Linked DNA regions of Mus musculus: all the other regions are reported to be linked to region 1. The links are microRNA targets in miRTarBase. Many come from high-throughput screens and were not tested one by one. Region 1 holds a microRNA gene; each other region holds the end of a gene's coding sequence.

Evidence for each region. Region 1 holds the annotated microRNA mmu-miR-324-3p (CCACUGCCCCAGGUGCUGCU, at 2,368-2,387, shown strand). A microRNA usually pairs through its seed, bases 2 to 8, with sites in the 3' UTR of a target mRNA and lowers its output. Matches are read on the target gene's strand: a 7mer-m8 pairs with bases 2 to 8, a 7mer-A1 pairs with bases 2 to 7 and ends in A, and an 8mer does both.
Region 2: the mRNA of Plpp5 is a reported target of mmu-miR-324-3p. Seed matches in the 3' UTR shown: 7mer-m8 at 3,074-3,080.
Region 3: the mRNA of Ppm1f is a reported target of mmu-miR-324-3p. Seed matches in the 3' UTR shown: 7mer-A1 at 1,994-2,000 and 7mer-A1 at 1,375-1,381.
Region 4: the mRNA of Katnbl1 is a reported target of mmu-miR-324-3p. Seed matches in the 3' UTR shown: 7mer-A1 at 1,686-1,692.
Region 5: the mRNA of Zfyve26 is a reported target of mmu-miR-324-3p. Seed matches in the 3' UTR shown: 7mer-m8 at 1,269-1,275.
Region 6: the mRNA of Cfl2 is a reported target of mmu-miR-324-3p. Seed matches in the 3' UTR shown: 7mer-A1 at 3,386-3,392.
Region 7: the mRNA of Slc35d1 is a reported target of mmu-miR-324-3p. Seed matches in the 3' UTR shown: 7mer-m8 at 3,508-3,514 and 7mer-A1 at 2,932-2,938.

The regions. Positions count from the first base shown.
Region 1 is chr11:70,009,728-70,013,793 of GRCm38, forward strand. Mir324 (microRNA 324) reads left to right here and starts at 2,316; the gene lies at 2,316-2,404. Dvl2 (dishevelled segment polarity protein 2) reads left to right here. Exons shown (of 15, transcript NM_007888.4): 15 at 1-382. Acadvl (acyl-Coenzyme A dehydrogenase, very long chain) reads right to left here. Exons shown (of 20, transcript NM_017366.3): 7 at 3,707-3,851; 8 at 3,445-3,574; 9 at 3,231-3,356; 10 at 2,721-2,919; 11 at 2,459-2,563; 12 at 1,957-2,043; 13 at 1,809-1,871; 14 at 1,618-1,719; 15 at 1,441-1,538; 16 at 1,279-1,351; 17 at 1,122-1,194; 18 at 971-1,043; 19 at 798-873; 20 at 456-709. The coding sequence ends at 569.
Region 2 is chr8:25,723,618-25,727,672 of GRCm38, reverse strand. Plpp5 (phospholipid phosphatase 5) reads right to left here. Exons shown (of 7, transcript NM_028000.1): 7 at 2,786-3,593. The coding sequence ends at 3,433. Ddhd2 (DDHD domain containing 2) reads left to right here. Exons shown (of 18, transcript NM_028102.1): 17 at 1-43; 18 at 310-2,349. The coding sequence ends at 17. Among named protein-coding and RNA genes, the nearest start is that of Plpp5, 5.6 kb to the right of the region's middle.
Region 3 is chr16:16,923,321-16,927,386 of GRCm38, reverse strand. Ppm1f (protein phosphatase 1F (PP2C domain containing)) reads right to left here. Exons shown (of 8, transcript NM_176833.4): 8 at 12-3,747. The coding sequence ends at 3,365. Among named protein-coding and RNA genes, the nearest start is that of Ppm1f, 29 kb to the right of the region's middle.
Region 4 is chr2:112,412,072-112,416,137 of GRCm38, forward strand. It overlaps Katnbl1 (katanin p80 subunit B like 1), which reads left to right. Exons shown (of 10, transcript NM_024254.3): 10 at 312-2,166. The coding sequence ends at 344. Among named protein-coding and RNA genes, the nearest start is that of Katnbl1, 35 kb to the left of the region's middle.
Region 5 is chr12:79,230,561-79,234,613 of GRCm38, reverse strand. It overlaps Zfyve26 (zinc finger, FYVE domain containing 26), which reads left to right. Exons shown (of 42, transcript NM_001008550.1): 42 at 445-2,267. The coding sequence ends at 648. Among named protein-coding and RNA genes, the nearest start is that of Rdh12, 24 kb to the right of the region's middle.
Region 6 is chr12:54,857,484-54,861,549 of GRCm38, forward strand. Cfl2 (cofilin 2, muscle) reads right to left here. Exons shown (of 4, transcript NM_007688.2): 2 at 4,043-4,066; 3 at 3,854-3,930; 4 at 1,334-3,754. The coding sequence ends at 3,642. Among named protein-coding and RNA genes, the nearest start is that of Cfl2, 3.4 kb to the right of the region's middle.
Region 7 is chr4:103,169,912-103,173,977 of GRCm38, forward strand. It overlaps Slc35d1 (solute carrier family 35 (UDP-glucuronic acid/UDP-N-acetylgalactosamine dual transporter), member D1), which reads right to left. Exons shown (of 12, transcript NM_001356276.1): 12 at 738-3,869. The coding sequence ends at 3,761. Among named protein-coding and RNA genes, the nearest start is that of Gm46864, 43 kb to the right of the region's middle.

The DNA of each region.
Region 1 (4,066 bases):
AGTGCCTGGTCCTTCCCCCTCTTCCTCGGGGGTAGATGGGGACCTTTGGTTATTTTTAGCTTTATTTTTTATAAGCTTTTTGGGGGGTTAAAATAGACTTTCTTATATTTGGGGGAGTATTTTTTTAAATAGACAGTTCCTCTTTTATATGGAGAATCCCTTCTAACCCCAGAATATGACCGCCACCTCCAGGTGCCTAGTCAGCTCTCATGTTGAGGGTGGGTGGTGGTCAGTGGTACCCTGGGAAGAAGAAGGTGTGGGCTGGGTACCCCAGACAGCAGTCCAAGGAGGCTGGTGGTGTGTTGGGGACTGTGTAGCTGCCTTTGTTACTCTATTTATTTTAGTCACTTGTACAAAACACCAAATAAAGCAAATAGAGGCCAACTCCCCAAGCCTCTGGCTCCTTTCTTTGCGAGGCAGGCAGTGGAGAGGAGGGAGCAGTGACATTCACGGCAGACAGTGACTTGGTAGAAAATTTATTGTTAAGGCAATAAGTACTCCATCACCCCCATAAAGGGTTTTGGCATCAGAGAAGGCACATGACCTTGCCAGGGCCTGATTGGGAGTCTCAGATTCCCAGGGGGTTACCGGTGACCAGGCCACCATTCTCCACCATGGCCTTGGAGATGCTTCTGAAGTTCCGGAAGAGCTCCTGATGCTGAGGGCTGGACTGCAGACTGGCCATGTTTTCTCGGATCCGAGTTGCAGCCTGGGGAGAGGGAAGGGGAGGGACGGTCAGGCCGTCCTGTACTGGGGAGCTCCAAGGCCCACCTGTACTGGGGAGCTCCAAGGCTCACCTCAATGCACCAGCTATCACAGAGCATTTTCTCATGCTGTGCCGTCGGGTAGCCCTCACTCAGGGACCTTGAGGCTCTGTGAGGAAACAGAGGTTAAAATGATCCTGAGTGCTGGTGTTGGCCCAGCTCCTCTGTGGCTCTAGCCTGCCAAGCGTCCCTCGCTGCCGCCTTACCTGGACAGAACCACCACCATGGCATAGAGGTCAATGGCGCCGTCCGCCAGTCGCTGCAGCAGGAACTGCTCGTCTGTCAGGTAGATGAGGGTGGGGCTGTTAGTCGGAGGGAGGGAATCAGGGAGGGAAGGGGGTTGCAGAGCTCACTCACTGACAATCCCTTTCTTGTGTTTCACCAGCTTGGCCTCCACCACGGTGGCAAATTGATCCAGAGCCTGCACTGCCTGAAGAGACAAGAGTCACAGACAGAGCTCAGGAGAGGAAGGCAGCGCACAGCCACCGCAGGCTCTGCTTTAAGGCTCACTCACCAGTTCACCACTGCGACTTAACTCTGGGTGGACAATCCCTGACAGACTCAAACCACTGCCGATTCCTGTCCTCCTGAGAGGAGATGGAAGAGTGACTGGTCAGTTGCGGCCTCCCATCTTGTTTGACCCTGACTCTGACCCTGGCCCCGGCCCATGAGGTACCGTCTCAGCTGTTTGCCTGCTTCTCCCATCAGGAGGCCAACGTTTCCAAAAGGATTCTTCAGGGCATTGCCCAGCCCAGTGAGTTCCTTTCCTTTGTCCTGTGGAGAGAAGGGGGACGGCGACAGTGAGGACTCAGTGTCCTCCCCAGCTGCTCTCTCTCATCCTCCTTCCTCTTACCATACAGCCTTGCAGAGCCACAAACAGTCGAAGAATGTCATTTGCCCCTTCAAAGATCCGGAAGATTCGAATATCTCGGAGCACACGCTCCACCCCTGGTTCCTGGCACGCAGGAAGACACAGAAACCTCTGTTGAGATGTGCCTGTCCACTCTGAACAGATGCCCCCCCCTGCCGAGGAATACTCTGTACCTTCATGAAGCCCATGCCCCCCATTATTTGGATGCACTCATCTGCCACTTTCCAGGCCGCCTCCTGAGGACAGAGAACCAGATGAGTTGGATTTTTGAGCTGAGGTCCTAATCTGGACTCCGCCCTCCCATCACACCTGGGTCCTCACCGAGCAAAAGATTTTGCTGATGGCGGCTTCTATCTGGAAGTCTTTGAATCCCTGGTCCATGTTGGCACTCAGCATGTAAGCCATGGACTAAGGGAGCATGGTCGGGACATGGGGAAGACAACAGGGAAGGGCTGCATCAGACAGAATGGCTAATGCTCAGACCTTCAAGACCAGTGCTGATCTACTCCTCCAACCCTTGAATTCACTTTAGCCTCCTGGTCAGGTCAAATATGTCCAATATGTGACCCTCTGGTATATCAGGGGCTTCGAGGCTTCCGACTTTGTAAAGGGGTGGGTTAAAAGTCGTGTTTGGTGCATCTGGGCAGCATTTAGCAGAGCAGCACCACCCTCCAGAAGAGAACTGACTATGCCTCCTCGCATCCCCTAGGGCATTGGTGTAAAGCTGGAGACCCACTGCCCCAGGTGCTGCTGGGGGTTGTAGTCTGACCCAACTGTGAAGAAAGCCATAGGGCTCCAGGGAAGGGGCCCAGGAGGCCCTTACCTCAGTCACATACTGCAGAATAGCCATCCGAGCCAGCTTTTCCTGGATCACCCCAAAGTTGTGAATTTTGTCCCCAAACTGGGTACGATTAGTAGCATGATCAACCTGCAAGAGGGCGCATGTTACCCCACTGTGGTTCTTCAGTTTCCACCTGGACGGGCTGGAGGCCTAACTGTGCCGATGGTCGAGTGTGCATGTGTGTGTGTCGGCGCTCTGAGGCAGTCAGGGACATGTGCTAGCTAGGGACTGGGCTGGGACTCACCGCCTTGGCAATGAGGGATTTCATGGTGCCTGCGAGGGTTGCAGCCATCCCGAATCTTCCGTTGTTGAGGATGTTGACAGCAACCTTGAAGCCATCTCCCACCTCTCCTAGCACATTCTCTGATGGCACCTTCACTCCATCAAAGTACACCTCTGACGTGTTAGATGCTTTGATGCCCATCTTCTTTTCAGGGAGCCCACTGAAAAGGCAGGGCAGGAAAGTTGAGGTATGAACAGGTTGCTGTGGGGGAAAACGGCCTTTTCGGGTCTCATGATCAGGGGAGAACTCCCCAGACTATAAAAAGGATACAGGGCACTGCCTATGTGCCCCAGGGGCTACGGATATCTAGCTATGGCCTGTTAGCCTGTGTTCCCCCAGTGGAAACAAAACTGCTCACCTCCTGTGGGTGCCTCTTGTACAGAGATAGCCCCAGCGTGGCCTGTATTGACTATTTGCTCTTGAGAGCCCAGTGCTGTCCCCATCCTTGATTCTGTTTTGCCCCATACTCACTGGGTAACCCCTCCGAAGCTCCTTTCCACTACAAAAGCTGTGATCTTCTCTTTCACGGCCCCCGTGGCTGCATCTTTAATTGGCGTCTTGGCAAAGACAGTGAAAATGTCAGCCAGGCCCCCATTACTGTGGAAGAGTGAGGTGGTTAGTATAGGGTTTAGAGCAGCAGGGTCAGGCCACTGGGCTGAAGGGTAGAAGAGAAACGGAAGATTGCCTGATCCAGATCTTGCTCCCATTGAGAGTGTAATATTTTCCACAGGGGCTGGGTATGGCTGAGCTTCGGATGGAGGCTACATCGGATCCACTCGAGGGCTCTGTTAGGCAGAAAGCAGCCAAAGCCTGCCCTGTGGGGGAGAGAACGGGCTCACTGGGGATCCTGACCACCAGAGTTGCACCCCCTCATCCCCAGGCAGTTCCTTGTAACACCGTGAGCAGTGTCACACTCCTTACCCCTGGGTCTCTTAAGGTTGCCTTACCAGATGCCACTCTGGGAAGGTATTTTTCTCTCTGGGCCTTTGTGCCATAGAGCAAGATGCCTTTGAAACCGATGCTCTGATGAGCTCCCAGGGTAACGCTAACACCAAGGTCATGCATGCCCACAATCTCTGCCAAGCGAGCATACTGGAGGGAAAGGAGGCATCTGGGATTGTAGCTGGCTGCACTGAACTTGTCCTCAACAAGAATGGGCAGCAGGGCAGACCTGGCCTGGGGCTTGGAGCATCTCTACTCTGAGCATGGGGAGTGGAGTGGGTTTGGACAGGGCACAGGGAGGCTGGCCATGGGGCTCCCAGGTAGGCTGCTTCTCTAGCATGAAACCCTGGAGTCTTTCCTAAGGA
Region 2 (4,055 bases), not on the chromosome of region 1:
ATCAGCCTTTACAGTAAACATGACCCATCTGTGGCTGCTTAATGTAAGTTTTCAATGCAGTGAAGTGTTTACACGTTATAAGGAACATTGGAACCTCAAGAAAAACTCACTTCGAGGACACTGGTTAAAATTCACAGGAAGTGTCCAGTAGCCCACTCAGAAAAGGATTGGTGTACATCTTACCTTGTGCTGGGGATCCCAAGTTACCACACCCAGCCTCCAGACAGGAACCTGGAAAGTCTGTATTAGACAGTGGCATTCTCTGGTGGCTGGTTCCCCTGGGTGACCTTTTCCCCCCCTCTCCCATAGATGGACACTGAGGGAGACTGTCCTGAAAACCCACACGCTTGCTGCTGCAGCTTCCTTCTCAGCTACCTTGTGTCCTGCATGCTGCCTGCCTTACTCCATGGGATCTTCCCAAGAGAACCCTCTTTGGAGACTACTGGAAAGCGGAGGGGCACTCACTGTTCTGTATGGACGCTCAGCAGGTTTTGTGGCTAGGGCGTTTACATATCCCAATGCTTTAACAGCAGCACTTCCTTGTTTCTTACATGGGAATGAATATCTGTTTAGGGGGCTTGGGGGGGGTTACTCCTTATCCTTACCAACACTACGGGTGGGAGTATAAGATGTAGAGGTACTTAGGGGTCCCGTCCCTCTGTGTGTTCTCTGTGCTGGAGGGCTGAGCATCACTGCATTTGGGAGAGCTGCTGGCTTTTGAGCCAGCTTTTCTTTCCTGGATTATATGAAGATCAGACAGAAGCTTACTAATAGCACAGTTTGCTCTGAACACTGTTACGTGAGTGGATTGTAGAACCACTGGTGCTGGTCCTGGTCCTGGTCCTTACAACTGCTTCAGCTTCTGCAACCCTGAAGGTTGTATTAACTGTGTGCCTGCTCTTTTACACCGTATTCCAAGCCAGCGGTGAAGTTGAGGACATTACTAGGTAATACTTATTTTGAAGGTCAACCTGAAATTACATGGCCCTTCCCTGCTGTTCATGTTGTAAATGCAGTCTTTTAGTAGCACCGATTTAAGTCACCTGCTCCTTCCACTTGAGTAAAGGAAGTATGTGACATAAATGTCACATTTTTTTTTTTTTTTTTTTTTGACACAGGGTTTCTCTGTGTAGCCCTGGTTGTCCTGGAACTCACTCTGTAGACCAGGCTGGCCTCAGAAATCCGCCTGCCTCTGCCTCTGCCTCCCGAGTGCTGGGATCAAAGGCGTGCGCCACCACGCCCGGCTGCGTCACTGCTTTCTGAGGTACCATCAAATTGTTTATTACAGTTGGCAGTCATGGATTTGAGCATGCAAGCTAGGCTACCTTCTGAAGGAAAACCCTGTCTACAGGGTCTGAGGAGCTGAATCTGGATAACTCAAGGCACATTGATCGTGAGGAAGGGTGACTGTACACTAAGTGTTCCCTTCCTTAGCATGTGCCGTCATCTTTGTCCTCCTCACGATTGCCCTTTAGCTCCTCTGATTTCCACAGGTCTCTATAGAGTGGCAGGAGAGGTGAGCTGTGTTTTGGTTTTTTTCCTTGTTTTGTAAACCTATCATGGTATCCAGAGGCACTGCACATAACATGCCCTGAAACCCTCAGATGGCAGTGCCCTCTACAGACAGGCAAAGGGAGGGAAGCACTGTGCCCTGGACGTTAGAGAGGCAAGCATGGTACGTCAGGCCCAGCCTGCCTTCCTGCTCATGGGTAATACTGGATGAGCAAGCTACTAAGGAGTTCCAGGTATATGGAATACTTTATTTTTTCTACAATATGTCTTGAGTAAGAATACCTGAGAATTAAGTAGTATATTCATTAAATACTAAAAAGTAAGTTTTGTCAATTGCTGTCTTGAGGTTTGTTTACTCTTGTTAGCAGAGTCATTACTACTTAAGAGTAAACCAAAGTACAACCAAGAGTGCGTTCTTGTGACCAAAGATGGGCAGCTTGGCCCTGGAGAGCTAGATAAACCCCTGCACTGAGAAAGGCTTCTTCCCGCAGTCCGGTACTTACACGTGACCACGCTGAGTGTTATACAAGGCAGTGTGGTGGCAAGGGACCTGGGTGTGGACCTGCACTGCGTCGTCTGTTATCATGCACAATCTCCTGACCAAGGCTGTTTCTAAACTCCAGGGTGACAGCATTCTGTCTGTGATTCTGTCTGTGATTCTGGCAGCACAGTTGGTGGGAGACTGTCTGCAAGGGACGATGAGTAGCTCTGATAACCTTGCTGATATTTTGCACTTTTGAAATGTTTGTTTTATATGTGATTATATTTAAGACGTTAGTAAATGCCGAAATAAAACTATTGACCATTTGCCTACATTCATGTGGCCTTATCTATCATCAAGAAAATCAATATAGTAGGCATTTTCTCTTACATGTTACTAAATTCAAAACAAAAAGTTTTAGGCAACTAACTGATGGTAAGCTCTTTTCCCTTGATGGATGTTTACATTCTCATGGACACTATAGCTCAGAATTGAAACAGAGCCTGTCCTTCAGCATCTGCAATATTAGCTAATACAACTGATACCAGCAGTTAGTTACATACACCAGATGGGAAGCCAGTCTTAATCTAGACCTGAACGGTTCTTATGAAGTACAAACCCTCAGGCACACTCTTGTGTTTCACTGCCAGACTTTCTGAGAAAACGAAGTACACTGAGAACACGTTTAAGACTATGTCAGAGCTGGGCAATGCTGGAGCGTGCTTTTAGTCCTAGCACTCTGGAGGCAGAGGCAGGTGGGTCGCTTGAGTTCACTCACACACACACAGTATGTTATAGGAAGAAATACATAAGAGAGACTTTTATTTAAAGTATAATAACAATAAAATGGTAGCTATCAGTTGGTCCTCCATACCAAGTTCTGGTGATAGCCTCTAGTTGCGCCATTTATTTCTTTATGAACAAAGGCAGAAAGTGTTGCATTTATTTTCTAGATAATATCCCTAATTTTTCTTTCCTAATGTAGTAAAAAGTAAAAAATTGGCCAAAATTGAATGTTTTATTATTTAAGGCTTAATGGAATGTTACCACAAAAAGCAAGCCGAATCAGAGTTTAGCTGGCACTGCCCTTATTTATAAAGGACAGGGATTATGTTCGGTAAATGGGGTCATGAAAGCTTCCTTTGTGGAAAGGTTTCCTCTGGAGTGACATTTAATCACTGTAGACACTAGGTCTTAGAATAGCAATCCTATGGATTAACCTAGTGAGAGAAGTCCTGACAGAGCCGTGCCAGGCCAAGCACTGAGACCTCAGGGGCTAGCCTTGGAAGTGGGGTAAAGTGCACAGCCTTGCGGAGGCAAGTACAGTGTGGCTGTGTCCTCACTTAGACCCTGAAGAGGTCAAGCCAGAAATCCTTGGCTTGTGCGTCCTGTCCAGTTAGGAGGGTTGATCTGCTTGTTCTCCACTGAGGTAGATTCAGCTAAATTTCCAAATGGTGCAACTCACTGGGCTTCTGTGAGGACGGAAGTTTGTGCTTGTCCTGAAATGGTTTATGGCACTCTACGTCAGTCAGAGGGGGGTAGTACTGCCTGTAGCAGACATAGGCAAATGTCATTCCAATCATGGAGCCAACTAGCACATCTGAAGAGAGAAAATAGCAACCCCTTTAAAACCATGTTAGATGCTCCACAGTTACAGAGTACTTGGCCCTCCCAGTTATTCTGCTTGTAGGGGCTAAAATAAAAAAAGAGCTCCGAACCTATGCTATTAGTTTCTTTAGAGCAACTTGATTTTACCATACAGTTACAGAATTATTAGTCTGATTGTTCTCTAAACATCAAGTCAACACCCTCAGTTAAATCAGCATGGACTGAGTTAGATTTATTTATTTATTTATTTTGTTTTTTCGAGACAGGGTTTCTCTGTATAGCCCTGGCTGTCCTGGAACTCACTCTGTAGACCAGGCTGGCCTCGAGCTCACAAATCTGCCTGCCTCAGCCTCCCAAGTGCTGGGATTAAAGGCATGCGCCACCACTGCCCTGTGAGTTAGAATTTTTAAACAAGTGTTTTTGACTCTAGTCATCGATTTGTTTTCACTATTTC
Region 3 (4,066 bases), not on the chromosome of region 1:
AGAGATCCAAGTGGCACTCAGGAATCTTGAATATATGGTTTATTGACACCAGTACAGGGCCCCATGGGAAGACGTCCTATGAGCTCATCACCTTGGGAGTTGTCCCTAAGACTAAAGAAACACGGTGTCTTAGAACAAGACTCCCAGGAAGACCCCTGAAATAACCCTTGGCAAGGCCCACATGGCATGTAAATGGCAAAGCTTGGTGTGTTTGGTGAAGCTGAAGAGTCCAGTGAAAGCACAAGACTCCAGAGGATGGTCCCTGGAGGCTACAGAAGCTGAATCAAACCAGAAGCCCAGCTTGCTTCACACAAATTGGCCTGGCTTCCGTAAGTATGGCCAGAGCCATCCTCCTGGCCTTGAGAATACAGTTGAGGTAGCCAGGACACCCATGCCAAAACTTAGCATCAGGAGAGGGGGGCACTGCATGCAGAAGAACCCAAAAGGGCAGGGGCAGACAGATCATGGTGAATGCAGGGCTTTTAAGACCTCTAGGTGTTGGTGCCTCCCTCACCATGAGTTCTGGAGACGCCCAAAGCTATGCTGCAGATCCCTTGCTTCAACACTCCTGAAAGCCTGCTTGTGCCCTCCCACCTCTTAACGCCTCCAGGCCTTGGTTGGGAGGCAGCTGTACCTGCAAAGGCAGGCTGACGGCTTCAGCTTTTGTATCTGTGTAAGACACTGGCGCCTGTAACTCAGCTCTGTTCCAGCCCACTTAATTTTAAGAATAGACACTAATAATACTTAACCCCTCTCTGCTGCTGGTGGAGGATGGGCTCCCGTGCTCTGGCAGCTCCTGGTAATGCTATGCATGCCCTCCATGCCTTTCCCTGAGGCCTGAGAGGTGCAGTGACTGGTTCCGCTCACACAATGTGATGGTGGCAAAGAGGGGGACTTGAGCTCACAGCCACCCTTCTCCCTGTTCCTTCCCTGAGCCTCTACTAAGCCACCCATTATCCTGGCTAGGGGATTCTTTTGGGAAGAGACTCTGAGGAGGAGGTGGCCAACAAGTCTTGTAGGCTTGGTACTGGCAACTCCAGTCCAGACAAAAAGAGTTCTCTGTACCTAGGAACTCGCTCAAGGCCAGCCCTCAACAGTAGGAGAATGTGGTCTTCCTTGGCCACTAGATCAGGATGGAGCAGTGCCTGATGTTGGTCCCAGACCATTGCCAGACAGGGGGAAGGGTGGGGGAGGCACTCAGACAAGCCTGGGAAAGGGGCTTCCCTTTACACTGAGGCCTTGATATTTGGCACATCTTTACATGCGAGTATGAATCCAGACCACCAAGGAGGCCCAAATTCCACTCTTACCAGCAATGATCAGGTTAGCAAAAATGGGAGAAAACCAAAATCAATTTATCTCCCTCTATGAAGGTCACTGCTACAGGCAGGCTGGACCAACAACCACACCCTGTGTTGAGATGGCACTGAGGATGCTGGATTCTGACACCCCCCCCCCCCCCGGAAGGCAGCAGGCCTTCAAGTTAAGCAATACCTAGCTATTAGGTGGGCAGCCATCTGAGTGATCACGTTCCTATCAGGAGACTTGATCAAGGAATCAACTACATGGCCCCAGCTCTTCCATCCCTGCTGTGGGAATGGGTAAATGGCAAGCATACAGGTGGGTGCCCAGCTGCATTTGGCTGGCTCGCTCTCCTACTGCTGGAAGTGAACTTGCCTCAGAGGAATAAGTATGAGCTCCCTTGCTTCTTTTCAAAGAGGGCTTAGGTGCAATGAACAAAGCTCTGCAAGTCTTGCTAGGGCTTTCACTCTACAGGTGAACTATGTCTCCTTCATGGGGACCTACCTCACAGCCACCCTTCTTCCTACTGATCCTTCCCTGAGCCTCTGCTAAGCCACCATTATTCTCTGGACCTGCCAGTGTCTGCAGAGAGCAGCCTTGACTCGCTTGGCCCTTGTTGAGGGCCTCCTAGTCCTTCTATTCTTGGTATCCCCCCCAACCCTCACTTGGTTTCCTTGCCTGACTGTATCCATCACTGCTCTAGGGATGTGGAGGTCTTTCATGCTGCTCAGGTCAGGACAGAGTCTAGCAGGTTAGGACACAAGTCACAGGAGAAAGATGGTGGACTGCTGGGCTTGCCCAAGTTCCTCACCTAAGCACTGTCTTCAACAACTCAATCAACATAACTGCAAACACACTTAAGAGAGTTTCAAGAGAGATTGAGTGTGTCAATCTTCTAGCCAAGAGCAGTAAGGTTCTCTCAGCTGGGAACCAGCCAGACTCCAAGGTGGACAAGGAGGCCAGTGTCACCCCAGGTGCCCATAGTCACAGCCTTTACCCATCACTTCAAGGAAGTTCTGAGGTGCCCAGACGCACAAAAGGACTTTCCCAGAAAGAGTGCTGGCTGAAAGTGTGCCTTCCCACAACAAATGCAGCCTCTTTGAGAACCTCAACACGTCTGCCTATCAGGATCCATGACGGACCCAGCAATTCTCATCTACACCAAAGCTGTTTAAGGCACTTAAGTGGCTTATTAACATAACCTGGAAAAGTTTGTTTCCATCCCGATTTAGGAAAAATAAAATCATTAATACTGCAAATGTCTCCACGAACACACAAAAAAGTAAAATACTTAAGTTTTCAGGAATAAAATAAATGCTAAGCTTTGCTTAAGTTACATGACCTTGAGGGTCACCTTGGCACTGATACAACATGACAAAGCCTGAATACTGATTCTGGATTAGACCTTTCCCTGCAATAAATCTAAGCACACAAAGACACACACACACACACACACCTCACTTCACCTCCCCAGGAAGCTCAAGGGGAAAGCGAGGTCTAGAAAGCCCTAGTGGCCTTAGTACTCAGTTAGAGTGCAGTGGCAGTGGGTCACTCTCCTGCTGTGCCTCCCAGCAAGACCAATGTCTCCTCTTTGGGAAGCCAGCAGTCAAGCAGGACTGCGAGCTTGTGTGTTAGTACAGACCAAACCCTCCCAGCCTTGGGTACAATGAGAAGCCACAAGCCTGGGCTGGACACCTGGCTGCAGATCTCATTCCAGGATCTGTGTGAGGGTCCTCCAAGACCTGACCTGTGTTTTTGGTTAGGCTACCAGCAGGTGCCTGTGGTTTCTGTTCCCAGACCTGTCCGGCCCTGATCACCTCAGCCATCTGCTCTTCGGTGAGGCCATTTTCCTATGTTTCCTTCTGAGATCCACTAGCTGCCTACTGCAGTTCTGCAGCCATGAGGACAGGCTGTGGTAGGCAACATGAAGGGCTGGGGTGCTAAGGGAATGCTGTGAGAGTGTGCACCCCTGCCCACTATACCTTTTGGATCTAAGGTCTTTGAAGGGGAGGATCACGAGGGCAGAGGGAGAGTCCGGATGGGGCCTGGAGGCCTGGACCACTTAGCTTCTCTGTGAGGTATTACTGATCTCAAGTTCTGAGAGGCCAGTGGACAAGTCCTGGCTTCCTACATCTGCCTGGGCATCCCCTGTCCCCTGGACTCCACCCTCTAGCAGCTCCAGGGGCTCCCTAAGGAAGACCACCATGACTGTAATGTTGTCATGGGAGCCCCGGTCACGGGCCACAGCCACCAGCTCCTCAGCAATACGCATCCCATTGCCCTTGTGCCTGAGCAAGTGGCCATGGACGAGACCCGTGACTTCATGGTGGGGGACAACATCGAAGAAACCATCACAAGCAAGCAACAGGTAGTCCTCTGAGCCCGTTAGCTCTCTGGATGCTGCATCGGCCTCCCCAGACACATAGGGCTTCTGGAAGACATCCCCTGGGAATGAACAGACAGAAGAGCCTTGTTTCTTACTTCCCGTGTGCTCAGAACCAACCCATATCACCATCCCCAAGGGCATGCAGGTACAGGAGCCCAGCTGGCTCTCAAGGGGTCACCTGCTTAGTGCTTCCCACCCTCTTTGTAGGAGAGTCACACCCTCCCCCCCCCCCCAGCTCCACAGAGCAGATCTCACTCCAGGGAAGGCTGCATCTCCAGTGTGTCTACAGATAGACTGCTAGAGCAGTACAAAGACAGGCTATGAGGAAGGAGCCAACAAAGACCTCAAGAGGGTGAGAGGGCAGGTGTAGATGGAGTA
Region 4 (4,066 bases), not on the chromosome of region 1:
TGTCAAACTGTGCCTTGGGCTTTGGTTTCTATAGCACTTACAGAATCTCTGCATTTTAACTGCAAAGCAGAGTTGTTGAAACACAGGAACCAAAACATTCACTTAGTGTTTGCTCAACGTTATTGAACATATAGCATGTGCCAGGACCTGTGATAAACAAATGCATATAAAATTTTTGAATAAGACTTCTTCCTTCTTTTTAAAGGTTTCAAAGGGAAGTAAGGCAAATTAAGAAACAAGCAGAAAAGAAGGCAGGTTGAGTGCGTTTGTATTTGCTTGATTAACTGATGGGATGTTTTTTCTCCTTTAAGGATGTAGATGCTTATTTATTACAGCTGCATTGAAAGATTTCATCTTATAAAGATTTGAGTATTCAGACAGCGCTGGATTCTATGATTTCCAAAAGGAGGTCTCTCCTGAGAACCGAGAGCTGTGGAAGAAATAAAACCAATTTTTTTCTTTTAAAAAGCCACATAATAAAACCACTAATGAAATCCTAACAATCTACTTCACATTGAAGTGGAAATATCAAGAAGGAGCGGCATCAACTTCAATGAGGTGAAAGTGCACTATGAAGACTGTTTGCCTTTGCTGCATTCAGAATTCAAATGACTGTTTGATAGCGTTGTTTAAGAACTACTGGGTCTTCACTCGGCCCTGCATAAGAATATGATTGATAGTATGCAAAAATAAGACAGGACTTATTACCAGGAACTATAAAGACCAATCATTAAATTTTTTATTGTGTTTTATGAAGAAACACTTAAGTGTGTGCAGCTAATTTCTTCTGTTGGAAAGACTTGGAAAGTTTAAAACATCATAGTAAGTAATATTAAAAATTTTTGTCCACACTGATACTGTGTACAAATGCCTTAATTATTGATAAGCCAATATGTTATAATACCAATATCTTTTTTAAAAAAATTAAAAGCAACCATGCTCTGGCATGATAAAATCATGGAATTAAATCAGGGGTTTACATTCATGTAGAATGTTGTTGAAATATATTCGACACCATTTTTTTAAACTTGAGAAATTTTTAGCATCTCTGATTCTTTTTGTCAGAAACTTCATGTTATGTTTGTATGTATGTGTTATTCTTATATAAAGAAAAAAGGTGAATATGTATTTGTATGAATGTTTAACTGGAAATGTCCATGGAGTTGGCTAATTTATATTCACTTTTTATTGTATATAGAGTTCTAATATTTTTCATTTCTGTAACATTTAAACTTCCTTTGAGTAAATTTACTAAATATTTCTATTTTTTGCTTTTTTAATTCTAATTTTATATGAAATCTGATTAATTCCTTGACACTAAATGTGTTCTGAAAAGTTCCACACAATGTTTCAGAATTGTTTACAGTTAATGCTGACATTGTACTTTAAGTTCCAACACAGTGCATCACTACCTCCTCTAATGGTTAGTAGGAAATTCCAGCAAACCATATGCAAGCGTTTTTGTGTTTTGTTTTGTTTTTTTTTTAATATGGCCATTTGAAGTATCAGTGTACTCAATTCTAGGAAGTCATAACAGTTTGAATCGTACCTGTCTTAGTTGGAATTGCAGTTAGCTACCACTCCTGCTGGCCCATTCATCATCTTTCTTTAGTAAGGCTTGCAAGCTTCCAGAAAAGATAAATTGACTTCCTCTTCATATTCCAATGTACATTTTAAAACTTAAAGCAGTGACTACTGAGACCCCCAGCCCCCCTGCCCTCCAGTGTTATTTTTTAACTGAATTCTGTTTTGTATAGCTATTATTCCAGATATCTATGTACACCACAGAATGAATATCCGTTGTAGTAATTGATTATTATATCCTCAGATTAGAGTCACATCCAAATGACTACAGTTTTGTGATTTCGAGGTGAGGTATGTAAGAAGTCATTCTTCAGAACGTGGGGGTGTCATGAACCTCCATTCCCCTGAAGCCTTCAGCTGGGAACTACAGCCTTTCTTTCTTCTTAGCCTGCAGTTTTCACTGTCTTATTGAACCATTTGGGCAGGTTGATGTGGTTTGGTTGGAGTGTGATGCTAGTGAGACTAAGGGTTTGAGTCTGATCCTTTTAAATTCATTAACTTCTCACGTGCACAAAGAAATTCTGTAGTTCCTGATTGCATATTTCTTTCAGTATCCACTTAATAAATTCAGTTTGTGATCTCAAAGAATGTGGTGTGCATAGTTTACTTCTCAAAGAGAAATAGAATGATTGATTTGTATAACAGTATAGATTTCCAGTTTGAAGAGAAAATATTCAAAATAAGACCTAACATACTTTATAATTTTTTTTTGTTTGTTTTTGTTTTAAGACAGGGTTTCTCTGTATAGCTCTGGCTGTCCTGGAACTCACTTTGTAGACCAGGCTAGCCTCAAACTCAGAAATCCGCCTGCCTCTGCCTCCCGAGTGCTGGGATTAAAGGCGTGCGCCACCACGCCCAGCTATACTTTATAATTTTTTAGTTGCACAATATCAAATACTATGGATCAGATTATTGACTAAACAGTATCTTTTTAAAAAAAAATCAAAGTTCAAGTAAATATCAATAAAAATTGAGTATAGTAAAAAGCAATACTATTGTTTTAACAGAATTCTTATTCCTAAATATGCTTGTTGACATTGAATAAGATGGCATGCTCCATTTTTTATGCTCTGGGCAATGAAAGAAGCAGCTTTACCTCGCAGCACACACACACAGTCTTCTTCCTGCTTAATGAAATGGTCATATCAGTTGGCTTTGTCTGTTGGAGGAAGAACCACAAGTGGGACTCATCTACAACGTACTACATGTCTGCTAGTACAGACTTATTTTCTGGATTCTTTCAGATGGAAATAGTGTCATGTGTTGACAGGTGTTTATAGATATATGCGTTCTCCTTTAATTTTTCTAGCCATAAGATTGTAAAACAAAGTCTGCAACATTTACTCTTCTCCCTTCTTATTTTGTGGCAGGAGTATACAATAAATAATGTATTCCTAAGCCTAGTATGGTGGTGATACAAGCCTATAATCCCATCACTTGGGCACCAGGCGGTGATTTCTATAGGTTCAAGGACAGCCTGATCTATGTAGCAAGTTCATACCAGCCAGGCTTAGAAAGTTAGACCCTGACTCAAAAAGAAAACAACAGAAAATTTTCATCCTTTCATTAGAACATTACATGCTTCTAATTTGTAATGTATACTGAATCACTAACATCACTATAGCAATAGAAATGAATATTGCATTGTAATTAGCATGCTGGATACATTTTTCCAGTACTACATTTAACATATTTTTAATCAGTATATTAAAATGCTGTATTTATAATTTCATCTGGGTGAAACCATTGAGCTAACAATATTTTTGAGACAGGGTTTCTCTGTGTAGCCCTGGCTGTCCTGGAGCTCACTCTGTAGACCAGGCTGGCCTCGAACTCAGAAATCCACCTGCTCTGCCTCTGCCTCTGCCTCTGCCTCTGCCTCTGCCTCTGCCTCTGCCTCTGCCAAGTGCTGGAATTAAAGGTGTGCACCACCACTGACTGACACAGTATCTTTTAAGAACCAAACTTTAGTAAAAATTTAAGTACAACTGCTTTTAGAATATTAAATCACCACATTGTCCTTTGAAGACTAATCATAAAATCAGAAGATAGAGCTGCTGTTTATCAGTATTTCCAGTAAAGGCAACAGTAAAGTAAACCTGCTGGTGGGTTTTTATTTTCAAAATCTGTGATAAAAATATTGCTTTGATATTGCAGAATTCTTATTCTTCAAACCATTTTCAGATGTGAGTTTCCAAAATCTAGATAAGGATTCAGCCCCTAAATAGACGACGTCCTGAAGTACATTCTTTTACTTTCCTTTTTTCTTTTCTCTCTCTCCCTCTCCCTCCCAGGCCCCCCTCCCCCTTTCATTCTTTCATTGAGACAAGACTTCTCTGTGTATCTTGGCTGTCCTGGAACTCACTCTATAAACAGGCTGACCTCAAACTCAGATCTGCCTACTGAGTACTGAGACTATAAAGGCTCCCGTCACCACCTGGCTCTGATTCTTATGTTTTCATTCAAATTGTACAAATTTTTA
Region 5 (4,053 bases), not on the chromosome of region 1:
CAGTCGCCCATGTAAGGCTCATTAACTGAACACTGACTGCCAGCTCCACACCAAGAATACAAGGGGCAGGAAAGGCAAACACTGTTCCTGCTCTCAAACCTTGGATTCTAGTCAAGGATATCACCTAAGCTCCAAATAACTATAAAATCACAGCCCGTGGATACTGGCAGTACTGGTTCTGATTCTAAAAAGAAGTTGGGAGAATAGACAGAGGCCAGATTCTGCCTACCTTACTTTCTAAATCTTACTTTACCTGTGATGGCTCTTTACCTTCGAACACAGAACCATGCACTAGCCTGGTGCCTAGAACACTTGAGGTTGTTGTGAAAGAATAATAGGTGAGCGAGAATACCATTCGTCTGCCTGTGCTTTCTGATACTCTCTGTGCTCGCTGATTTCCCTTGGCAGTCACTTCTTTCCAAATGTCTCATCCCCAATCCCTAGGTTCGGGCCTATCTGACATGTTGCAAGCTACGTTCTGCCTACCTGATTGCTGTGAAGCAAGAACACTCGCAGGCCGCCGCCCTCGTCCAGCAGGTGCAGCAGGCTGCCAAAAGCAGTGGGGATTCTGTAGTGCAGGACATCTGTGCTCAGTGGCTTCTGACAAGCCACTCTCGAGGTGCCCATGGCTCAGGCTCCAGGAAGTGACCCTGGGCTGCAGAACCTGGAAACCATAGCCTGGGAACTATGGCGACAGGCACAATACCACACAATGCCCTCCCTCTCCGTCTTCCTGTGGAGTGGGACTTTATGCGCCTGACCCAGGTCGGAGTGAGCAAGTTGGACCGTTCTTGCCTGAGTGGGCAGGAATAGGTCCTTTCACACAAGTGCCATGTAAAATTGTAGACTCTGTGTTTGTCTGGAGATAGCCACTTCTTTCTACCTCAGAGTGACTGTGCGTGCGCATGTGTGCACATCCGTGTGCATGCTCCTGTGCACTTGTGTTTACGCCCAAGCATTTTCTGAACAAATGAGACTCCTCCATTGAAGAGAGGCGCTTTACTTCCTGCTTTGTGCTGGTCTGAAGACCTTCGGTATGTTTGGTTCTTGTCCTAGGTCGGCCTGTTCGTGCACAGTTTCCCCTCTATGCAGACATACATGGTCCTCCTAACAGGAGGGGTCAACAGAATTACAGAGCAATGCCAAAAAGGTTGCTTCTGCCCAAAATTCAGAGAGAATGTTAGAAGCATGGCTGTGGAAGATGGCAGCCTTCCCCGTCACACCTCTCGCAAGCACAAGGTTTTCAAGTGCAGACATCTGAAAGCTCTGGCAGTGGTATAAAGTCAGATCTGGGAAGGTGAGGCCAGGCCCCTTCACATTCATTCAGAAGGAAGGAAAAGGCAGACCTCTCTGAGCACAAAGCTGGCTCTTGCCAGTATCCCTGCTGCAGGATTGATGTGTAAGGACACATGGCTTTTTCTTTCAGAGGCTGGGGAGAGAAATGGTAGCCAGGATCATTGGGACTGAGTGAATGCTAGTCTCTACCTGTTTGCATTCCATTCCCGTTTGTACCTCTTGAATTAGTTAAGAAACCATTTCTCCATCTCTCGTGCTCCCTGTCTGGTCTCCTCAGGGACACAGGGTGGATACCTAAGGTGAGCTGGTGCTGAGAGAGAGGGTCTGCATTTTAGTGACTGATTTGCAAATGAGAGCCCTAAAGAAAGGCCTGTGGCCCCAAGTCTCCCACCAGCCAGAGCTCAGCCTATTGTCTCCCCTTTGCTGCCAAGGCAACAGGAACTGGAAACTGAAGTCAGTGTCTCTGGTGCTTAGAAACCCTCTTCGTTTCTTCTGAACCAAGATTTTCTTAATTAACAGCTGTTAATGGACATCTGTCAGATTCCAGGCTTTGGTCCTAATAGAGAAGAAAGGCTGAAGCAGAAACCTAGCTCACTTAAGGCTGAGGTCTGACAGTGCCTTTCCTTCCTGACGCATAGAACACACCACAGCTCACAGGAACCCCCATTGCCTGAGGTCTGCTTACACTCAAGGCTGTGTATGTTTGCACTGAACATAAGCACTTTACACAACTGGGTTGGAAGTCTTGCAGCCCTCGATTTAGGATGTCATTACCAGATTTCCCTGACTATCTTCTAACTTGAATTGTAAAATAGGTGGACCATTGACCAGGTTAACAGAGAAAAGACTGCAGACCTAAGACATTATACTGTGGTCTCCTGAAAAGCAACAATAATATCAAAGCAGTTGTACATGTTGAGGGGTTGTTTGTCCTCCTACAACCAAGCCACAATAAACTGCCTATCCCACCTACGTCTTAGCTTCATCAGCTTTTTAAATTTTATTATTTACTGTTATGTGCATTGGTGTTTTGCCTGCATGTATGTCTCTGTGGGTGTCAGGTCTCCTGGAACTGGAATACAGACAGTTATGAGCTCCCATGTGGTTGCTGGAAGAGCAGACAGTGCTCTTAGCCTCCAAGCCATCTCTCCAGCCCCATGGCTTTATTTATATAAACACACGTTTTAAATTTTTTCATGAGTACCTGCGTGCGCGCACTCGTGTGTGTGTGTGTGTGTGTGTGTGTGTGTGTGTGTGTGTGTGTGTGTGTGTTGTGTGTTGTGTGTGTGTTGTGTGTATCACATGCATGCCTGGCACCTGTGGAGGCCAGAAGAGGGTATCCAATCCCCTGGGACTGAAGTTACAAGTAGTTGCGAGCTTCCTAATAGGGTTTCTGGGAACTGAATTCAAGTCCTGCCTAAGAACAAATGCTCTTAACTGCTGAACCGAGTCTCCATTCCCTGACTTCTATTTGTTTTGGGACAAGATCTCATATAGCACAGGCTGACGTTGAACTTGCTGTGTAGCTAAAAGTGATCTTTAACTCCTGATCCTCTTGCCTCCACACTCCCTGTTTCCAGACTCCCGTCTTTTGTGTGTTCTGTGGGGAAAAAAAGATGAGTGGGAAAGAAAGTTCAAGTGGGCCAGGCAGTGGTAGTGCACGCCTTTAATCCCAGCACTCGGGAGGCAGAGGCAGGAGGATTTCTGAGTTCGAGGCCAGCCTGGTCTACAGAGTGAGTTCCAGGACAGCCAGGGCTATACAGAGAAACCCTGTCTCAAAAAAACAAAAAAAAAGTTCAAATGGCTAATTTCCTCTTAAACAATTCCTGGAGTGACCATTCACTCACTTAAGATTTCCTCTAATTCCCTATGTATTAAAAACTGTTAGTGGACCAAGGAGATGTCTCAGCGGGTAAAGCACTCAACACACAGGCCTGACAAACTGAGTTTGATCCCTGGCACCCAGATGAAGGTAGAAAGAAAGGACTGACTCTTCCAGGCCTCTGACCTCCAGAATACACACCATGTCATAAACGTGTCTGTATATGCATGCACAAATACATGCTAAATACATGATATTAATAAATTTTAAAACCTTAAAAGGAGGCTGGACGTGGTGACACACACCCTTGATCCCAGCATTCAGGAGACAGAGGCAGAACAATATGAGTTCCAGGCCAGCCATGGCTACATAATGAGACCCTGTCTCAAGAAGACAAGAGAGCAATGAGTGTTCCTGCTCAGCTCCCGTTGGGACTGTAGAGATGGCTCATGGGTTAAGAGCATTGGCTGCTTTTCCAGAGAACCCAGGTTCAATTCCAGCATCTACATAGAGACTCAAAACCATCAAGGGAATATGGTCCCCTCTTCTCTCCATCAAGGGCCTCAGGCATACCGATGGTACATAGACATATATATACAGGCAAAATACCCATATATATATAATAAAACACGTTTGTTTTTATCTACAAGCTTTATGGAATATTTTGTTCTTGAAATAGGGTCTCAATTTCATAGTTTTTTGCTCAGGTGATGGGAGTCAGATGGCACACTGAAACCTTTTTTAAGGTGAGTTGCCATTTTTTTTTAAACTTTGTGATTCCTAGCATGACAAAAAAAAAAAATTAGCCAACTATATTTTTACTATCAATTGATTTGTGAATTTTTTTTTTTTTGAAGAACCACCTGTATGGTATTTGAGAAGAGCATAACTCAAGCTTAGGAAAAAAAAAAAAAAAAACTGTTTGCCTGTCTTTC
Region 6 (4,066 bases), not on the chromosome of region 1:
AAGCCTTAGGCTATACAGAGAGTCTATCTCAAAACTAATAAGCCAGGTTTGGTGTGGGATGCCTGTAATTCTAGCACTTATGAGGTGGGGGCCAGAGGACCAGGCGTTCAAGGACACCTTTCTGCATATACTGAGTTTGAGGTTAGCCTGAGCTATGTGCCATCTTTGTCTTAAGAATAACAATCATGAAGTTATAGATTTCAACACTATGGGTAATATGCCTTTATTTTACTTCAAAGTTACTTGGAAGTTTGAGGCCAGCTCTCACTACTCACACATCAACACACCCAACATGGTATAAAGTTATGGACACTAACTATATTCTGTATTTGTGTTTATGTACATGACTGTGGAGGCCAGAGGTCAAAATCCAGTTCAACTGCTTCTCCTTTCCCTTTGTTTTTGAGACAGGGTTTCTGACTGAAACTGGAACATCCAGATCTCCCTAGGCTGGCCTGTCTCAACCTACCTAGCACTAGGATTCCGGTTCATACAGGTATGCCTGGCTTCTACACGGTGCCTAGCAAGCAAGCAAGCACTTAGTTGAGTCACCCCTAGCACTCTGTATGATATACTTCTAAAAGAAGATGTTCTCTATCAGCTAATTAGTACTTAAACTATGAGATCAAGTGGAACTGTTATAAAAATAGAACCAGTGATCTTCAATAAACCAGCCTACTCCCCGCCTTAGTTTCCTAAGTGCTGGGATTACAGGTGTGTGTCACCACACCAGGCTTTTTATGACTTTAAAAAAAAATCTATGTAACTATTAAAGGCAAGTGGTGAGATGGCTTATCTGTTCAGAGCATTTGGTGCTCTTGCAGGGGACCTGGATTCAGTTCCCAGCACTATACTGTGACTCAAAGCCACCTATTACTCATGTGCCCTCTTTTGGTTTCCCTGGATACCAGGCACATACATGGCACACACATATATATGCAGACACATATACACATGAAACAAATAACACCTTTTTTTGTTTGTTTTTCGAGACAGGGTTTCTCTGTGTAGCCCTGGCTGTCCTGGAACTCACTCTGTAGACCAGGCTGGCCTCGAACTCAGAAATCTGCCTGCCTCTGCCTCCCAAGTGCTGGGATTAAAGGTGTGAACACCTCTGTTAAGTGGGAACTGTGCTCAGGTAGCCAGGCTTCCATCCAGTCTTTATCTATTAAGCCATCTCTCGGGCCTGAAACAGGATTTCTAAAAGAAAGCATATTTCCTAAATCCTGAAAAGGATAACGTGCAGATAACGCTGCCTCTCTAATCCACAACCTAAGTTTCTCGGCTTTCACTGTTTTAAATGCAAGTAAACACATCTCAACAGCTTTAAATATTTTCATGTATTTTATTTTTAAAACACTTATAATTTTGCAAGCTAGCAGTAAAATATTGCCCTCAATATTTTACTAATTAGCACCGTATAGCTTTTAAAGCTAGCTGGAACATTGTTTCACTGTAAATGACTGCAAAATAAGATGTGAAATTAGTCTCAACATAAGGTCATAAATTAAATCATTATTATTTTTTGGCTCTAGGCACATATGTGTACTTTAAAGATGAATTTAACTACATTAATGTATTTGGCCAATCTAAAACTCAAAGTATAATAGTTTCAAGCAGCATTTAATCTCTCAAATTATTCTAAAAATGCATATAAAGAAATTGAGAAATTAGATATAAAAACAAAAGGTCACCCTTTACCTTTTAGAAATCACTTAATATTTGGAAGAATAACAAAATAAATTGGTGAAAAAGTCCTTTGGTGCAAAGATTGGTTAAACATAGGTTTAGCACACATTACCATTCTCATGCTTCTCATGCTTCTAAGCAGCCTTACCAAAAAGCCACAGAAAGGTCTGGAACAACTCACAGCAACAGCTGGAAGGCTGAAATCAAATTCCTTAGTGCTAAAAAGATCCCAAGTCATTTGTGTAGTTTTAAATGGAAGCCTAGACATTTAACCACTATGTTAATGTTCTCATCTGGGAAAAAAAAAAAAACAACAAAAAAACAACTTTCCAAAAGGTAGAAAAAAACTAATTATACCCAAATTACTTCCACATATTTTAAAAAAGGATATTTTCATTTCCTATCTTCTGATAAGAGCATTCTTCAGAGCTCTGGGGTCAGAGTCCAGAGCCACACACGACTGCTCACTAGCACGCCTGTCTTACATGCCAGTAGAATCAAGTCCAGTTTTGCCATCTGTGGATGACTATGACAAGATACAAAAGCATGTGTTTGCCATAAATAGCTCCGGCTAATAGCAGAGAGCGCACACGGAGCAGATCAAATTCTCTATAAGGAGAAAGCTCTGGGCCACAGCCAAGTTCCATTACTAAGCTTTAAGACTGCTATACGATTTTTTTTTCCCAATTCATTTTGGAAAAGCTATGAAGGAACTGTGGCTGAGACAAACATTCCTAAACATCACAATCATCATTAACCTTCGAATGACATTTTACAAATTATTTTCATTATGACCAAGTAATAAAAACATCCTACTTATACTACTCAATTCTCAGTAATGTAACTCTGGATTAATATCCTAGCTTATCTAGAGAATAAATAAGATACTGGATAGGCCAAAGTGCAAAAAGAATTTTTTTCTGATCTCCATTTTATAACATAAATAAGCATTTATAAAATTACCACTCTTTTAATGATTGTATATAAGTGATTTTAAGATGTTTTTAAACCAAAGATTAAAGGAAAAAAAATTCCAAATACCAGTGCAGAGCTTAATCACCGTTACCCTAAAATTTCACATAACAATTTGCAAAATTTCCAAGGAAAACAAGGCAACATTCTGTAATCTGCCACAATTTTTATTGCAACGTGGCCACTTTTGTGAGGGTAGGGAGTTTGATCTCAAAACAATGTTCCATTTAAGGCTCTTTTATACAGAAATTGCCATCATGACTGATATTCAAAATATCTGTAGTGTTTCAAGACTCATATGGTAAACATAAATTATACAGTAGTGTACACTCATCGGGAAACCAAAGACATTAGCACAGCTGTTTCTTTGAAAAAAATATGAAGGCAAGAAGAATGAACACTGAGATACTAGGATAAATTGATGACAGGTAATAAAACTTAATTGGCATTCTTTATAAGGGATTAAACGCATTAAAAAAAAAGTGCTTTTAACGAATAGTGTTAAATCTGTGCTGCCAGGTCACAAAAATAGGCTTGCCAAGGCAGGTGAGGTGTATGAAGGCTCCAGTGCCTCAGAGAACGGTAATCAAGTGCAACTATAAATAATACTGAAACAAGTCTCCCATATGACCGACCAGTGGATAATATTTTCAAGGCATTCAGTTAGCTTACCCTTTGTAGTACTCTAAGCTATTCACATTGACAACCACATCCATTGTAACGTTCACTGCAAGGAAGGCATGGAACCAGTTTGTTTTGGCTAAAATAAGACAGGAAGGCATTCCTTGGGAATACAGAAAAGTAACCATATGAAACAGTCTCATGGCAATACTGACAGGCTTCTTATATTCACTCATTCACGAACGGGACCAGTGAAAAGGGAATAAACAAAAAAAAACAAAACCTAATACAATTCCAGTGGACTGAGCTGGAGAGATACGTGTAAGCCCCTTAAGATCAAATGGCACTTGGCTATTATTTTATAGTGGCTTTCCTTCAAGGGAAACTACAACACTGCCCCCCAGTTTCTCTCCCAGCGTCGAGCGGTCCTTAATATCGTCCAAGCCATTTACTTGCCACTCATGTTTAATACCTAAAACGGAAAAGAAAAACACACCTCATTAACCTTATAACTAAGAAAGAGTAAAAAAAAAAATTTTTTTTTTTTGTACAGAACAGTCGATGTTGGTACCTGTAAATTTCTTTTTAATGGCATCTTTAGAGCTAGCATAAATCATCTTGCTTTTTAACGGTGCACTTTCAGGAGCCCTACGGGGGAGAAAATGTTGAATTTCAAAAGAAAAACAAAGGCAAAAACTGACTCTGATAATAATAATCCTTGCACTTTTAGAAGTACTTTTTTTCTTTTGTTTTTACACACCAGAATATAAATACTAGGTCTTCT
Region 7 (4,066 bases), not on the chromosome of region 1:
AGTTTTTCCTTATTCAAAATGACCGAAAATAAGAGTCTTGACAAGACACGCAGAACCATGCTCACAGCAACATGAACCAAAGCCACCCACGTGTCCATCAATGAGCTGTGCTGTGTACACACCAGAGCAGCGCAGGCTTTCACAGAAGGCCTGATGTGTAGTCCAGAGAGGAACCCTGGGGACATGCTACATGAATTACACCAGTCCCCAAAAGACATACCGCACCATCCCACTTGTAGTCAAACCCATAGAAACAAAGATGCAACCATCGGGGACAGGAGGACAGGGAAACGGAGGCTTCTGGCCAAGGCCTATAGCATCGGTTTAGTAATGGAAGGCCAGTGCACAGCAAGGTGGACATACTCTGCGCTGTGTACTTGGTAACTTCTTAAAGAATACGTTAATGTGCTCCTGTCTCAGTTGAGTACCAGAGTGGCTCTCCTGCTAAGTGCCTACTATTGGGGGTTATTACCCAGGACAGCTAGTGGGCCAGAGAGTGCTTGTTGAGCTGGTCAAACATCCTAAAAAGAGAGTAGCACTTCTCTCCTCGAGGCTCATCATGGGCACGTCAAAGACACAGCCTACGTAGTCGCAGGTTCTATGGCAGGTTTGCAAAGCACTAATATTGAGTGGTGTCCCCAACCCTGGACTGTAGGCACCTGCATGTCACCTTCTTAAGTGAACAGATCCTTATCTCTCAATGCTCACGACACAGGAGGAAGGAATTCTAACACACATTTTCCAGAAAAAGTATTTATTTGACATCATTAAAAAAATAGTTAGGCACATCATTTTCCATGTTTATGTCACCTGATTTACATACCTCAATGCTCAGTACCTCTTAAAAACACTAAGTAAATTGGTAAATAGAGTCTATATTGAAAAGACGTGTGAGAGGCGAACACCTGTAGGCAAAGGTCGCTCGTCAGCATGAGAAAGGAAACATCTGTGAACAAAATAATCTCTAAAAACATTCTGTGAGAAGATAAAATCTAACCAGTAGATTTCTTTTTTAAAAATATATTCAACGTAAAAGTTAAAAACAAGACACTAGAGAGTCTCTGCATCCTACAGGTGAACTGCGAACAGCAGGAGCAGAAGGCAGGCCTAGAAAAGTGATGGTGACAAAGGGGCTGGATCCAGTGTTTCGCTCTGAGGTGAGGGATGAAGGCCTGGGAGCTACCTCAGGGTGACAGCTGAGTCTTCACTGAGCTACCATACTGAAATGCAACGGACTCCCACTGAGACAGAAAACAGATTTCCCTTTTTCATATTTGCCACCATAATATGAAAATAATTCTCTTTTTAAAAAGCAGAATAACAGTGGCTATAATTATACAGAGACTATTTTTGTTTTGTATTTTCAAAAAGATAAGGGACAGAGTCTGTTGCCTAAGCATCTGAAGGCAAGAAGCAGTTTCATGAGTCTTGGAAAACATGGTGCCCTATGCTGCTGGCACTGAAGGAAGGATGGCAGACCTGTGTCTGCTGAGCGCTGTGTGCACTGGGTTCCATATTCAGTATCCACTGCACTCATTCTCAGTATTTTTTCCCCAGGGAAGGAAAGTTCCATTATAGCCTGTGGGAGAAAGCAGCATGGCACAGACGTGGGAAGAAAGAGCATCATTGCCAGAGAAGGACTCGGGGAAGACAGTTCTAAGAGCTGTGTGGCTCATCTGAGCTAGAAGAAAATATGAGGACCATGGCCTCTGAATGGAAGCCTTGTTCTTTTGGGGTGGGCCTAAAATCAGTGCAGGTAGGTCTTACTTACAAATCGCTGACTCTTTTCTTTTCCTTTTTTTTCTTCTTTCATTTGTGTCCTTTCAACTAAGGTCCGACTCTGGCTGAGGACTACACTTGAGAGTTCCAGGCTCTGCCCCCTCTATCTGTCCATGTGGTTAACAATGTGCTGGTCACTAAGAGCCCTCAATATGGAAAGCAAAGGCCAGACCTAAAGCCCTCAGTGGCCCTGTGACCCACTAACACTCCATGGAGAGCCTGTCTTGGCATTACTGACCAAAACCTCCCACATATTTCTGATACAAGATCACAGAAAACTTAACAAATGTCCTTCTTACAAAATTTATATGCAAGATAGAGCCTAAAGATGAAAATTTTCAAATAGAGGGGGGGGAAAAAATCAAAACTCTCCTATTCCCCACTGAGACACAAAAAAATACAAGCTCCAGACCTGCAGTCAGCTAAGCACCAAGGAAGCAGAAGCAAGCTCCTTCCCTAGCAATCATGCTGGCCCAAGCAAGCCCCTCCAAAGCCAGCGATGCTTCAGAGCCATGCCACCCAGCTCTGGCAATCACTCCTCCCTAAGGCAGTTCAGTCAATGTCCACTCACACAGGCTCTCTCAGAATGAGGAAAGGAGATATATCCATTCTGAGATGCTCATCAGGTAGACGTATCTGTAGGTGAGAGCTGACCTCACATCACTTCAGGGAGAGGGACTTAGATCCTTCCAAGAAAAGACCAAGTTCCAATAATGGAAAGATGCCCACCTAGCTCTTCCCTCACACCAATCAGTTCAGAAATGTAGGCCTTTGTGTGGAAATGAGGACCTGCAAACAGGGATACAAAGAGCAGCAACTACATCCACATGATGAAGGCATGGGGACGGGGTGGCAGCTGCCTTGATTGTCCCTTTAAGAAAAGGGTTAGGCTGAGCCACTGCTATGCTGGTGTACAAAATATAGCTGTTCAGTCTCTTGTGGGCTCTGGACTCATGGCGTGGGGTAGGCAGAGCAGGGGCTTCTAATCTCATAGACCTGCAGGTCCAAAGAGCTGAAGTAACTGGTGCACAGTCTCGGATTTTTCCAGTTGGACAGAGAACCACGTTTTCCATTTTCCATTCAGTCTAGAGCAGGACCATTACCAATGGATCTCTGTATTCCAGCACTCAGCACAGTGCCTGCGAGGGACTTTCACTGCACTCCAGCTGAACGAGTGAGTGAATGGCTGGCTTCTTCCACCCTTGCTTGTCTCCAGCTGAACAAAGAGGAAGCAGACATTCCCAGGCACACTCTGCTCACCCCACAGTCTAGGAAAGCAAAACACTTCTCAGGGCTTTTAGTGCCAAAGCTGCCACCTTTGGCAAATGTGATACTATGAAGACAGTGCAATTAAAAAGGTGGGGGAAGGAAATGGAAGGAAGAACAAAATAGAAGAGGAGGAAGAGGAAGAGAAAGAAGCAGAAGGAGAAAGAAGGAGAAGGAGGAGGAGAAAGAGGAGGAAGAGAAGGAGGAGGAAGAGAAGGAGGAGGAAGAGAAGGAGGAAGAGGAGGAGGAGAAGAAGAAGGAGGAGGAGGAGGAAGAAGAAGAAAGAAAGAAAGAAAGAAAGAAAGAAAGAAAGAAAAGAAAAGAAAAGAAAAGAAAGAAAAGAAAAGAAAAGAAAGAAAAGAAAAGAAAAGAAAAAAGAAATTTCAGATCCTCAGCTGCATTTCCAGCTAGTTTCCAGAGACAGCCCACTGGAAGGCAGCTCTAGCTGGAACACATTGTATACACTGCCAGGGCCACCCAGATAGCAAGCTATAGAGTAAAGGATTTCAAAACACTGATGCTTCACTGTCAGAGGAAAAAAATAAATTAAAACCCACCCAGTACATTTTCCAGTCTGATATAAATTAATTCAAACACAGTTAGCATACAGTCAATAAATTTCCAAAGGCAGCAGTCAATCCCAGGGTTGTATAATTGCAAAGGAACATTGACTCCCCGCAATCAGGAGGCTCCAGTGTCTTCCGGGCTGCGGAGGTCACACTGCTCCTTTTCCCTTCGTGTCCAGCTTGTTACTGGCCTCTGACTGCTTGCTCAGCTGCTCTTCCGTGAAAGTGATGTAAGAGTACACCAGGCTTCCAGCAATACTGCAAAACAGAAAGCCATAACGAGGGAGGGACAAAGTGAAGGAAGGAATGAGTCCTTACACTTGTACCAGGTAAAGTCTGGTAAAAGTTAGGCATGTCCTCAGAATGGAGTACTAGACATCCATTAGATTGCTGATAAGTAAAATTGGCAATGGCATCTTAACAAAAACTACACAAAATATTAAATGTTGGTGACT